3 linked regions of the Macaca fascicularis genome follow. The protein of the gene in region 1 interacts with the protein of each later gene in a biochemical or structural test. Links are inferred from orthologs where the notes say so. Each region holds a gene or a part of one and is shown in the gene's direction. Other genes may lie near its edges.

Region 1 (4,169 bases):
AAGATGTTTTCTCGCAGTTTTTGCAAGGTTTTAAACAGCCCTCGGCGTTCTTTTAATGTAATACATTGAAACGAAGATATTTCGGTGGCGGTGATATTTCATATTTCATAGTTGCCACTGCGCTCTGTCATTCCAGTAGTCTGTTGTGTATTGTGAGAAACAACTCTGGGTAATTATTGGGTAAATCCCATAGTTTCTATTCTTTTCTCTTCCATCCTATCCCCTGTCCAGCTGCAGTTTGCATAAAGAGAATGCTGCAGTACGGTGCTCGCAGATAAAAGTCTTTCGTTTAAAGATAGTATATAAAAAATCGCGTGTAATTAAAGCAATCATGCCAGTGGGCGTCAGGCCACTGTTTCACAGGCCGCTGTGTTAGGTTTTGTTTTCGGTTGTTTTCTACCGTCGTTGCTTTGAAATTGTAAGGGATTGGCAGAGTTTAAGGGTTTATATTAATGAACTCGTGGTACATTTTACTGCAGTTTTCCTAGTCGCGGAGAGACTTGATATTACAAACTAACGTTGCTGTCTGATTACTGCTGTACTGCTGTTGACAGGGTTTAGTGGAGTACCTTGTCGCTCTCTCTGCCTTTTTCACCAATGTTCCTTTGCCTCCAGCAGAGTGCCAAAGATACCTTTAGGTCAGAAAAGGGGAGGAGAGCAAGGACAAAATGTTTTCCTGTGTGAAAATTTCCATCTGTCTCTAAAGTTGTGCTTTTTAAAGACACGTATAGTTAGTGCTATGGGAGTATGTTGCATTTATTTATTTTAATTAAGAGCTTTTTCAGTTAGAAAGTTGTGACAAATTGCTGGAAATTAAGATGTGTTATCTAAAATGTAAATTATTCTTAGACTTTAGTGAATAAATTGAAGAGTATGTAAGTTCTATTTGGCATGCAAATACGGTTTTCTAAAATACCTTTTGTTTTTTCTTTTCAGATTTACAGCCCTGAAGAATCCTCCTCTCCCTTTCCCCTTGCAGTAATAAATCCCATTTTGGAGATCTCGAAGCTTTATAAAGGGATATAGTTTGAATTCTATGGAGTGTAATTTTGTGTATGAATTATATTTTTAAAACATTGAAGAGTTTTCAGAAAGAAGGCTAGTAGAGTTGATTACTGATACGTTATGCTAAGCAGTACTTTTTTGGTAATACAGTATTTTGTTAGGCGTTTCTGATAACACTAGAAAGGACAAGTTGTGTCTTGTGACAAATTGATTAATGTTTACAGCATGACTGATAATTATAGCTGAATAGTCCTTAAATGATGAACAGGTTATTTAGTTTTTAAATGCAGTGTGAAAAGTGTGCTGTGGAAATTTTATGGCTAACTAATTAAGTTTATGGAGAAAATACCTTCAGTTGATCAAGAATAATAAAGTGGTATACAAAGTTAGGAAGAAAGTCAACATGCTGCAGGAAATAGAAACAAATACAAATGATATTTAACAAAGATAGAAGAGTTTATAGTTTGTGAACTTTAAGCCAAATTCATTTGACATCAAACACTATAACAGGCACAGGTTCAACAAAGCTTGTGGGTGTTGACTTCCCCAAAAGTTGTCAGCTGAAGTAATATAGCCCGCTTATGTAAATACTATGGTGATAAGCTGTGTGAACTTAGCCTTTAAATAGTGTGACCATATGAAGATTTTAATTACTTTTGTTTATTGGAATAAAATGAGATTTTTTGGGGACATTATATTAAAGTGCTTATAGGGAAAGAAGCCTGCATGTAATTTTTTACCTTGTGGCATAATCAGTAATTGATCTGTTACCCAGGCTTCATAGCTTGTAACCAAATATAAATAAAAGGAGTAATTTAGGTATTCTGTAGTTGCTTAGAATTTTGAGAATATAAATCTCTGTGAAAAATCAAGGAGTTTCAACATTTTCAAAAGGGCATCCACCTCTCAGGGCTTTAGGTTAGTATTACTCAAGATTATGAACAAATAGCACTTAGATTACTTAAAAGAGTTACTACAACCCCAAAGACTTGTGTTCCAAGTAGTATCTTGGTAATTCAGAGAGAGACTCATCCTACCTGAATATAAACTGAGATAAATCCAGTAAAGAAAGTGTAGTGAATTCTACGTAAGAGTCTATCATTGATTTCTTTTTGTGGTAAAAATCTTATTTTGTGTGAAGAAATTTCATGTGACTGTTTTAGCTATCAAACAGTACTGTCACCTACTCATGCACAAAACTGCCTCCCAAAGACTTTTCCCAGGTCCCTCGTATCAAAACATTAAGAGTATAATGGAAGATAGCACGATCTTGTCAGATTGGACAAACAGCAACAAACAAAAAATGAAGTATGACTTTTCCTGTGAACTCTACAGAATGTCTACATATTCAACTTTCCCCACCGGCGTTCCTGTCTCAGAAAGGAGTCTTGCTCGTGCTGGTTTTTATTATACTGGTGTGAATGACAAGGTCAAATGCTTCTGTTGTGGCCTGATGCTGGATAACTGGAAACTAGGAGACAGTCCTATTGAAAAGCATAAACAACTATATCCTAGCTGTAGCTTTATTCAGAATCTGGTTTCAGCTACTCTGGGATCCACCTCTAAGAATACTTCTCCAATGAGAAACAGTTTTGCACATTCATTATCTCCCACCTTGGAACATAGTAGCTTGTTCAGTGGTTCTTACTCTAGCCTTTCACCAAACCCTCTTAATTCTAGAGCAGTTGAAGACTTGTCTCCATCGAGGACTAACCCCTACAGTTATGCAATGAGTACTGAAGAAGCCCGATTTCTTACCTACCATATGTGGCCATTAACTTTTTTGTCACCATCAGAATTGGCAAGAGCTGGTTTTTATTATATAGGACCTGGAGATAGGGTAGCCTGCTTTGCCTGTGGTGGGAAGCTCAGTAACTGGGAACCAAAGGATGATGCTATGTCAGAACACCGGAGGCATTTTCCCAACTGTCCATTTTTGGAAAATTCTCTAGAAACGCTGAGGTTTAGCATTTCAAATCTGAGCATGCAGACACATGCAGCTCGAATGAGAACGTTTATGTACTGGCCATCCAGTGTTCCAGTTCAGCCTGAGCAGCTTGCAAGTGCTGGTTTTTATTATGTGGGTAAGAAGCAAATAACTACATTTTATCATTTTATTTTGATTTACATATTAGAACATAATGTGTTTTCAATATTTAGTCTTTTTTTTTTTCTTGAAGGTCGCAATGATGATGTCAAATGCTTTTGTTGTGATGGCGGCTTGAGGTGTTGGGAATCTGGAGATGATCCATGGGTAGAACATGCCAAGTGGTTTCCAAGGTAATTGTTTTGAAAAAGGTATTTGTACAAAAAACTCTGCTTAAAAGAAGTAGGCATGCTTACATGATTTAGTTTACCGTTAAATTATAACAAAGCCTCTTTTGTGCCGCTGGGGAATTATCCTTCTAAAAGATCACATTTTAACTTTAATTGTTTTGTTGAAAAATATTATGCAGTCTTCTGTGTACTTTTGTAAGTCAGTTACAAGTATAGCCATACATTTTATTTATTGCCCGTCTTCTTTTAAACAGTACTTAAGGATTACAAAGACATATAAAATAGATTAAAAAGAAGTTAGAAAAAGGTAAGAACAGGAAAACAAGAAGGGACATAGAATGGATGCAGGAATAAGGCAAATGTAAAAATGCATATATTAAGAGCATATCTTGGCTGGGTGCAGTGGCTCACACCTGTAATCCCAGCACTTTGGGAGGCCAAGACAGGTGGACCACCTGAGGTCAGGAGTTCAAGACCAGCCTGACCAACATGGTGAAACCCTGTATCTACTAAAAATACAAAAACTGACTGGGCATGGTGGCACACGGCTGTAGTCCCAGCTTCTCGGGAGGCTGAGGCAGGAGAATCGGTTGAGCCCAGGAGGTGGAGGCTGCAGTGAGCCAGGATCATGCCACTGCACTCCAGCCTGGGTAACAGCGAGACTCCATCATCTGACTGCCCATTTTAATTGTAATTGTAAGTTTTTTTTTCTGTACAATTTTCTTTTTTTATAATCTGTCATTTACCTCTTTTTAGCCACTTTATCTCTAGCAGTGTCTTTTTATTGTAGCCTAGAAAGAATTTAGGGGCAGTGTTATTAGTAGAAATAAAATTAGAGATTAATTGTGTTTGTAATTGAGTAGCTGTGTGAACTGAGACATCATTTG
Region 2 (4,248 bases), on another chromosome or scaffold:
AGGCATCCGCTGCCATGCACGGCTAATTTTTTTGTGTTTTTAGTAGAAACGGGGATTCACCACATTGGCCAGGCTGATCTCGAACTCCTGACCTCACGTGGATCCGCCCAGCTTTGCCTCAAAAAGTGCTGGGATTACAGGTGTGAGCCACCACGCCCGGCCGGCAACACATTTTTTTGACTGAATGGACATGGTTATTGCTGAATAAAGGTATGGTGTATGATTTTATTCTTCCTTATAGTTTTAGATTCTGAATTTCCTAAAAGGACCTAATGTCATTGCACATAGTTATTACATGAAGATAACGAAACGGGGGGTGGAAAGCAGTGCCCTCCGATGGCCCCGAGCAGGAGTTAGTGACAGGGAGCGTGGCTCCTGCAACCACAGTCCCTCTTTTTTTTTTTTAAGACGGACTCTCACTCTGTTTCCCAGGCTGGAGTGCAGTGGTACGATCTCGGCTCACTGCAACCTCTGCCTTCTGGGTTCAAGCGGTTCTCCTGTTTCAGCCTCCCAAGTAGTTGGGATTAAAGGTGCCTGCCACCACATCCGGTTAATTTTTGTATTTTTTATTTATTTATTTTTTGAGACGGAGTCTCGGTCGGTATCCCAGGCTGGAGTGTAGTGGCGCCATATCAGCTTGCTGCAACCTCCACCTCCTGGGTCCCGGTTCAAGCAATTCTCCTGCCTCAGCCTCCCGAGAAGCTGGGATTACAGGCACACGCCACCATGCCCAGCTACTTTTTTTATTTGTTATTTTTAGTAGAGATGGGGTTTCACCATGTTGGCCAGGCTGGTCTTGAACTCCTGACCTCGTGATCCACCTGTTTCAGTTTCCCAAAGTGCTGGGATTACAGGCGTGAGCCACCATTTTGTATTTTTTTTAGTAGAGATGGGGTTTCACCACGTTGATGAGACTGGTCTCGAACTCCTGAACTTGTGATCCACCCGCCTCGGCCTCCCAACCAAAGTGCTGAGATTACAGGCGAGAGGTGAGCCACGGCGCCCAGCCACCACAGGTTCCTTTTTTTTGAGACGGAGTCTGGCTCTGACTCCAGGCTAGAGTGTAGTGGCGCCCTCTCAGCTCACTGCAACCACCGCCTCCCAGGTTCAAGCAATTCTCCTGCCTCAGCTTCCTGAGTAGCTGGGACTACAGGTGCGCGCCTCCACGCCCGGCTAATTTTTGTATTTTTAGTACAGACGGGGTTTCACCATGTTGGCCAGGATGGTCTCAATCTCTTGACCTTGTGATCCTCCCTCCTCGGCCTCCCAAAGTGCTGGGATTACAGGCGTGAGCCACCGCGCCCGACTGACAGGTTCCTCTTAAAGCCTAAACCGTGAACCCCAGGGAAAGGACCTGCAGGTCCGGCCACGCCCAGGCCTCCTTAGCGCGCCAAGATGGCGGCCGCCGCGCCCCGCGGTCGGAGCCGAGCGGTCCCGAGCGCTTCCGAGCATTCCCGAAGTCCAGAGAAACTCCGGGAGCGGCGCGGGCGGGAGCGGCCCCGCCCGGAACCTGGGAGCGGCGACGCCGGCGCGGGGGAGGGGAGGCCGGATGTGAGTGGAGCGGCCATTTCCTGTTTCTCTGCAGTTTTCCTGAGCTTTGGGTGGTGGCCGCTGCCGGGCTTGAGCTTCCAGTCCGCGGAGGGCGAGGCGGCGTGGACAGCGGCCCCGGCACCCAGCGCCCCGCCGCCCTCAAGCCGCGCGCTCGTCCGCCGCGCCCCGAGCCCGCCGCTTCCTATCTCAGCGCCCTGCCGCCGCCGCCGCGGCCCAGCGAGCGGCCCAGATGCAGGCCATCAAGTGTGTGGTGGTGGGAGACGGGTGAGTGCGCGGCCGGGGCCGGACTGGGGACGGCGGGGTCGGGCGCGGGCGGGGGTCTGGCCCGGACTGAGACCCAGGCAGGCAGGCCGCTCGCTGCGGGCTCGCGTAGGCGGTGGGCCTGGGCCTGTATCGCGGGGCGGGGGCCGCGGGCTGGCGCCCCCACTGGACCCTGACTTCCCGGGCGGCGCGTGCCAGGTTCCGGCTCTGGATGGAGGAGGGCCTTGCCGCTCGCCGGCCGGAGGGAAAAGTGAACTCCACCCTCCGGCTTTCTTCCCGGACGCCGCCCGCCGCCCTCCTCGGGAGCGCTCGTAGAGGAAGCGCTCTTGGAGATTTTGACCATTTTTCCAAAAAGGGACTCTTTCTTGTTTTTTGCATGAACCTCTCAATTCGCCTTGAGAGCTGTGTTGGGAACGCGGCGGTCAAGTCGATATTTGATGCATGCTTGATTGTGCGGGCCTCTTTGGTGCCCCCAAACTTTTCTTTAGAAAAACATATTTTTTTTCATAGACCGGTTCTCGCTGTGTTGCACAGGCCGGTCTCGAACTCCTGGGTTCAGGCGATCCTCCCATCCCAGCCTCCCAGAAATGCTGGGATTACAGGCGTGTGCCACCACGCCTGGCTAATCTTTAAAACTTTTTGTAGAAATGGGGGTTGGGGGTCTCGCTGTGTTGTCCAGGCTGGTCTCGAATTGCTGCGCTCAAGTGATCCTCCTGCCTCTCAGCCTCCAAAAGTGCTGGGGTGACACCGCGCCCGGCTTCTAAACTTATTTTCGAGCAGGATTTTTCAACTTACACTTCTGCCACTGTTAGGATTCTTAAAATTGTTGTTTTCGCGTATTCCGTGGAGAAAGTTTTTAAGATGCTGGCTGGGAGGAGCCGGCTGTAAGGGGCACTGTTTTTTCTTTTCTTTCTTTCTTTCTTTTTTTTTTTTTTTTTTTTTTAACGTGGTGTGGTCATTGATAAACTGTTCTTTGCTTAACGCGTTAGGTATGGGATGTAGCAGAACTGGCCCCCTGTGACTCCAGGCATTGCTTTTCATGACTGTCTGTGGTGGTTACAGGCCCTGGAGGAAGACAAGACTTGTCTTATGCAGTTTTTTTCTCCCATAGAAACAAGAATCTCAGTGTAACCCAAGCAAAATCGCGCGTCTCAGCGTTGCTTGTATAGGTTAGTGTTAGCAAGGAAGAATTACTACCAGTTTAATAAAACTCAGTGCAACTGGTACATGTTCCAGTAAAGTCCAAGGCAAGCTCTGGCATCACGGTTAACTGGTTGATATTCTTCAAACTTGTCATTAGGACAGATTTTGGTTCTTGCAATTCAGATGCAAGAAGGATAATTAGACAACTGATTTTTGTAAGATGCCCATCTGTCATATTTGTCTTGGAAATGTGAAATAATATTAATGCCTCATAATTCTGTTTATATAATAACTAAAAATTCTAACTTTCACTTATTTAAGAGTATGTAGGCTATCCAAGGGTTTTTTTTTTTTTTTTTTTTTTTGAGACGGAATCTCATTCTATTGCCCAGGCTGGAGTGCAGTGGCACAATTGCGGCTCACTGCAACCTCCGCCTCCCAGGTTCAAGCGATCCTCCTGCCTCAGCCTCCCTAGTAGTTGGGATTATAGGCATGCGCCACCGTGCCAGGCTAATTTTTGTATTTTTTAGTAGAAACGGGGTTTCACCATGTTGGCCAGGCTGGTCTCGAACTCCTGACCTCAGGTGATCCACCCGCCTGGGCCTCCCAGAGTGTTGGGATTACAGGTGTGAGCCACCGCGCCCAGCCCAATTTTTTTTTTCTTTCTTTCTTTTTTTTTTTTTTTTGAGACAGGGTCTCACTCTGTTGCCCAGCCTGGAGTGCAATGGCGCTCTCTCTGTTCCTGCAACCTCTGCCTCCCGGGTTCAAGCAATTCTCATGCCTCAGCCTCCCAAGTACCTGGGATTACAGGCACACATCACCACACCCAGCTAATTTTATTTATTTATTTTTTATTTTTTTGGTAGAGATAGAGTTTCGCCATGTTGGCCAGGATGGTCTCAAACTCCTGACCTCAAGTGATCCCCCCGCCTCGGCCTGTTTTTTTTTTTTATAAGTCATATTGCTGATAATTATTTGAAAAATGCTGAAACTAAAACATAAGCATAGCAGATACGTTTATTTAATACTAACCGATTAAGGACCTCTGCCGTTTGAATTGGCTGTTTTATCTAGTCAGATAACTTGTCGAATGCCTATCCTGGAATCTGGACCCTCCCTTCAAATACCCACTCCACCGCTTACATGGGGTAACCCTAAGCACATCCCCCACCTCCCAGGAGAGGTGGTTCAGTGGGAGGTCAACAAGAGTAAACAAGATGTTGGTTAACTACTTTGCAGGTGCCCCTTGCTGAGTGCTTAGTAAGTGCCTGGTACTGTTACTGCGGTTTCTAC
Region 3 (4,148 bases), on another chromosome or scaffold:
TCTCAACCTGTTCAACCTTTCAGCTTTTGATATCTATACGTCTTTTTAGATAAATAGACCAACTCTTAATCATACTGGGGATGTTTCTATTTAAAGAATCCCTAATATTTGTATATGTGTGAATTTTTTATACAACAAATCAATGGATTTGATCGTATTTTCATATTTCCGATGCATATTACTTATAGTCTCATAATGCAGTAATAAGCATAACACATTGTTCTTGACACTGGTTATTTAACCAGAATAAAAGGAAGATGATTATTTACATAGGTTTAAGAGATGGGGACATTCACCTCATGTGTAAGTTACTCTTATCTCTTTTAATATACTAATGAATGCAAAAGCACACTCTCTAAATTTGCTGTGAACACATTTTATAGTCCTTTAAATGGCTTTTTACCATCTTTAATAAATAACCTGTTAATGAATCATTTTAGGAACAAATGCCATATCTCTACCAGAAAACTATATATTAAATTAAATTGCATATTCCTTTTCTTCAAAAGCATTTTAATTTTTGTTATTTCTCATTAAATCCAAAGCCAGCCAATCCATTTTAGTGGCTGCACTAAAACAATTCATATAGTGTCTTTTACATTCACATTGTATGAATATAAAAAATTGCCCTTTTATATTTTGTTTTCTGATATTTTTAATTTATTTTGAATGATGTACTGAGGGCAGGGGAAATGTATTTATAGCTTCCTAAGGTAAAGATCATGTTCTACTCAACAATTCTTGAAAACTGGTTTGATTCTATAAAAATGGGCCAATTTAAATCTATCAGTCATTCATTTTGTGAATTTTCTCTTTATGTTCAATTTCAATATTCTCTGTAGGGGAAATATGAGGAAATATTATTCCTTTATTTGGGTAGGAATTCCCTCTGTACTCCTCGCTCTCCCTGTAACAAAAGGTGTTGGTAGTAATAAATTCTATGTGTCCATTTTGAATGCATGGTTAATGTTGGGGTATGGCAAAATTCTTATATCCTATTTAACCATTTATTCTAATTATAAACTCTATGCAGCTTAACCCTGTAATTGACATCTGAAGTTAAACTGTAGGCAGGATATTTCTACTACCAAAGAAGATAGTGCTGAGAGCAGAAAAAAGGCAGTAGAATAGAGCTCCATGAGACAATTTTTTTCTTGCTCTTTGTTCTTTGTGAAAAGTAATATCATTTAATTAAAGGGCATAGCTTATCTGAGTGTTCTAGAATTAATCCTAGTATTAAATCATCCACAAAAAGTTAATCTTGCATGTAACGTTAAGCTTTTATTACAGTAATTTCCTAATTTTTTAACTTAAAATTGATTTTCTTTCAAAACTAGATGAGCATTTGTCATCTTCATTGTATACAGTAATTCTTTGCTGCCTTATCACTTTCAAAAATGGTATCTTCACAGTCAGCTTTTAAAAGTAGTGCTATTTTAGTTTATTAGATAGAGTTCATTTAAAATATATAACATGTATGTTCTTATGTTAAACAGCTATGCAGTTATCACATGGGAAGTGTTATCCAGAAAACAGCCTTTTGAAGGTAAGTATGTTTTGACTTTTTTATGCTCAATAACATCATGTTAGTAGGTCACTCTCAGAACTATCTAAAAATCATGTTATTTTAAATCTGCTTATTCATTTTGTGGAAAACACACTAAAACGACAATTTATCAATTGTGAATGCATCACATACTGCAAAATATACTGGGTTAAGGATCCAGTTGTGAATCTGCTATATACTGGAAAATGTACTGGATTAAGGATCAGAAAAACCCAGATTTTAATTCTTGTTCTGACAGTAATTAACTCTGTGATCAAGTCACAAAATCTCTTCAGTCCTCATTTTTGTCACTTGCATAGTAAGAATTTTAAATTACTATTTCTAAGTTCTAGTCTAGCTGTAAAATTATTTATATGATAATTTAATTACTATTCCCTCTATAAAGACTAGCAAATATTGAAGATTAATCTGTCCTTTTTATTCCCTGAAAATATTATTTCTTTATTCTGAGGTTTGTGTAGGTCAGCTTGTTGTGTAACAAAAAACAACCTTGGAATCTCCATAGCTTATGAAATAAACATTTATTTCTCATTCACATTAAATATTAGTTGCTGTAGCCCTTCTTAGTTCGGCTAGGTTTTGCTCAGCTCTGCTTTACAAATATTCTGTTTACCAAATCCAATCATATGGCCAAGCCCAGAATTAATGAGGTGAGGATATAAACTCCTTCCATAGGAACAGACAAGTCTGGCAATGGTTTGGGATATATATATTCCTTTTACAGAAAGGGGGATAAGACATTATTCCTAAAATTTTAATATTCACTTATTTTCTTTTAGTTAGTTTTAGATGTAAGTAATATGCTGAATCGTAATATATTTCTAATGAATGCAATCTATTTGTTTTGACAGATGTCACCAATCCTTTGCAGATAATGTATAGTGTGTCACAAGGACATCGACCTGTTATTAATGAAGAAAGTTTGCCATATGATATACCTCACCGAGCACATATGATCTCTCTAATAGAAAGTGGATGGGCACAAAATCCAGATGAAAGACCATCTTTCTTAAGTGAGTATATAGTTTTAACATGGACTCTTTGAATTACAGAATTAGTTAATATACTGTGAATAAAATATTCCTTGAAAAATTGTGCAAATTAGATGACTAGCTAGAAGTTGTTTAAATTATTTTCCGACTTATCATAGCATTTATATATGAGTAACTCCTTCTAGAGCAGAACTGAGAATTCCTAACAAAAAAGAGAAATTGTGTGATAGGAGTAACAATTTCCTTCATATATTTAACAAATATGTCTTGAACCCCTACCATGCGCTGTGTATATACTGGAGTAAGCCCTGGGAACAGAGTAGTAAAGAAGACAAACTTTCTGTAGCTAGTTCATATTCTAGTTGAGAAGGCAGAGTGAAAACAAATAAATAAGCAAGACACAGATTGTGACAGTCTTATTAGGAAATAAGCAAGGTAATAGACTAATTAAGGGAGGGAAACAAAGGCCTTTTTCTAGGAGCGAGCATTTGAGGTGAGATTTGAAGCTTGAAAAAGAGCCAGTCATTCAAATGCTGAAGAAAAAGTATTCAGCCAAACAAAACAGCAAGCATAAAGGCTCTGAGCCTAGAAGAGAAAAAGTTTTATATTCTCAAGAAACAGTGAGAAGGCCTGTGTAGCTAGAATATAGTAGGCAAGGAAAGGAATTAGATGATATTGGAGAGGTAAGAGAGAGGCTATTGGCCATCATTAAAAGGTTAGATTTTTATTCCAAGTGGAATGGAAAGCCATTAAAGTATGTTTTGCAGGGAAGTGACATGATCTGATAAGAAGTATAGGTGAAATTCTTACTGCTCTGTGGAAAGTTGATTGGAGAAAGGCAAAAGTAGAAGCAAAGAGGCTAGGAAAGAAACTTTCAGGAATTTTCTAATTGAGGTGGAAATTCTGAAGATAGAAGAGTTACAGAATTAAGATAGTATTTCAGAGGTAGAATGGATCAGACATCCAAATGTAAATGTAGGAGAAAATCTTCATGACCTAGGGTTAGGCAGAATCTTTAAATATGACATCAAAAATAAATAGGATTCATTAAAAAATTTATAATCAGACTTTGAAAACATTGGAAACTTTTACACTTCAAAAGGTCCTATTGAGAAAAGAGACAGCCAGGCGTTTAGTGTCCACGACTTTAGTCCCAGTTACTTAGGAGGCTGAGGCAGGAGGATCACTTGAGCCCAGGAGTTTGAGGATGTATCATAATAGTGCACTGTGATCGTGCCTGTGAAAAGCTACTGCACTCCAACCTGGGCAACATAGCAAGACCTCATTTCCAAAAAGGAAAAAAAAAGCAGAACCACAGACTGGGAGAACATATTTGCATAACATGTATCTGCTAAAGGGCTTGATTCTGGAATATATAAAAAACCCTGACAAGTCAATAATAGGACAGATAGCCCTATTTTAAAATGAGTAAAAGATCTGAATTTCACCAAGGGAGATATACAAATAGCTAAAAAGCACATAAAATGATGCTTAATATTATTAGTCATTTGGAAATGCAAATTAAAACTGCAATGAGTTACCACTTTATACCCACAAAAATAGCTATAATTAAAGACAGAAAATAACAA

Evidence for each region.
Region 2: the proteins of BIRC2 (region 1) and RAC1 form a complex in vitro, tested with the Homo sapiens proteins (2 studies listed by BioGRID and IntAct, with this or other methods). The link is inferred for Macaca fascicularis from reciprocal best matches to the Homo sapiens genes BIRC2 and RAC1.
Region 3: the proteins of BIRC2 (region 1) and RIPK2 form a complex in vitro, tested with the Homo sapiens proteins (4 studies listed by BioGRID, with this or other methods). The link is inferred for Macaca fascicularis from reciprocal best matches to the Homo sapiens genes BIRC2 and RIPK2.

Annotation. Positions count from the first base shown.
Region 1 is NC_088388.1:101,357,763-101,361,931, forward strand, and holds the start of BIRC2 (baculoviral IAP repeat-containing protein 2), read left to right. Parts: upstream 1-1,166; 5' UTR 1,167-2,194; coding exon 2,195-3,089; intron 3,090-3,185; coding exon 3,186-3,285; intron 3,286-4,169. UniProt on the Homo sapiens protein: Multi-functional protein which regulates not only caspases and apoptosis, but also modulates inflammatory signaling and immunity, mitogenic kinase signaling, and cell proliferation, as well as cell invasion and metastasis.
Region 2 is NC_088377.1:45,992,473-45,996,720, reverse strand, and holds the start of RAC1 (ras-related C3 botulinum toxin substrate 1), read left to right. Parts: upstream 1-1,573; 5' UTR 1,574-1,780; coding exon 1,781-1,815; intron 1,816-4,248. UniProt on the Homo sapiens protein: Plasma membrane-associated small GTPase which cycles between active GTP-bound and inactive GDP-bound states.
Region 3 is NC_088382.1:99,475,378-99,479,525, forward strand, and holds part of RIPK2 (receptor-interacting serine/threonine-protein kinase 2), read left to right. Parts: intron 1-1,496; coding exon 1,497-1,546; intron 1,547-2,418; coding exon 2,419-2,580; intron 2,581-4,148.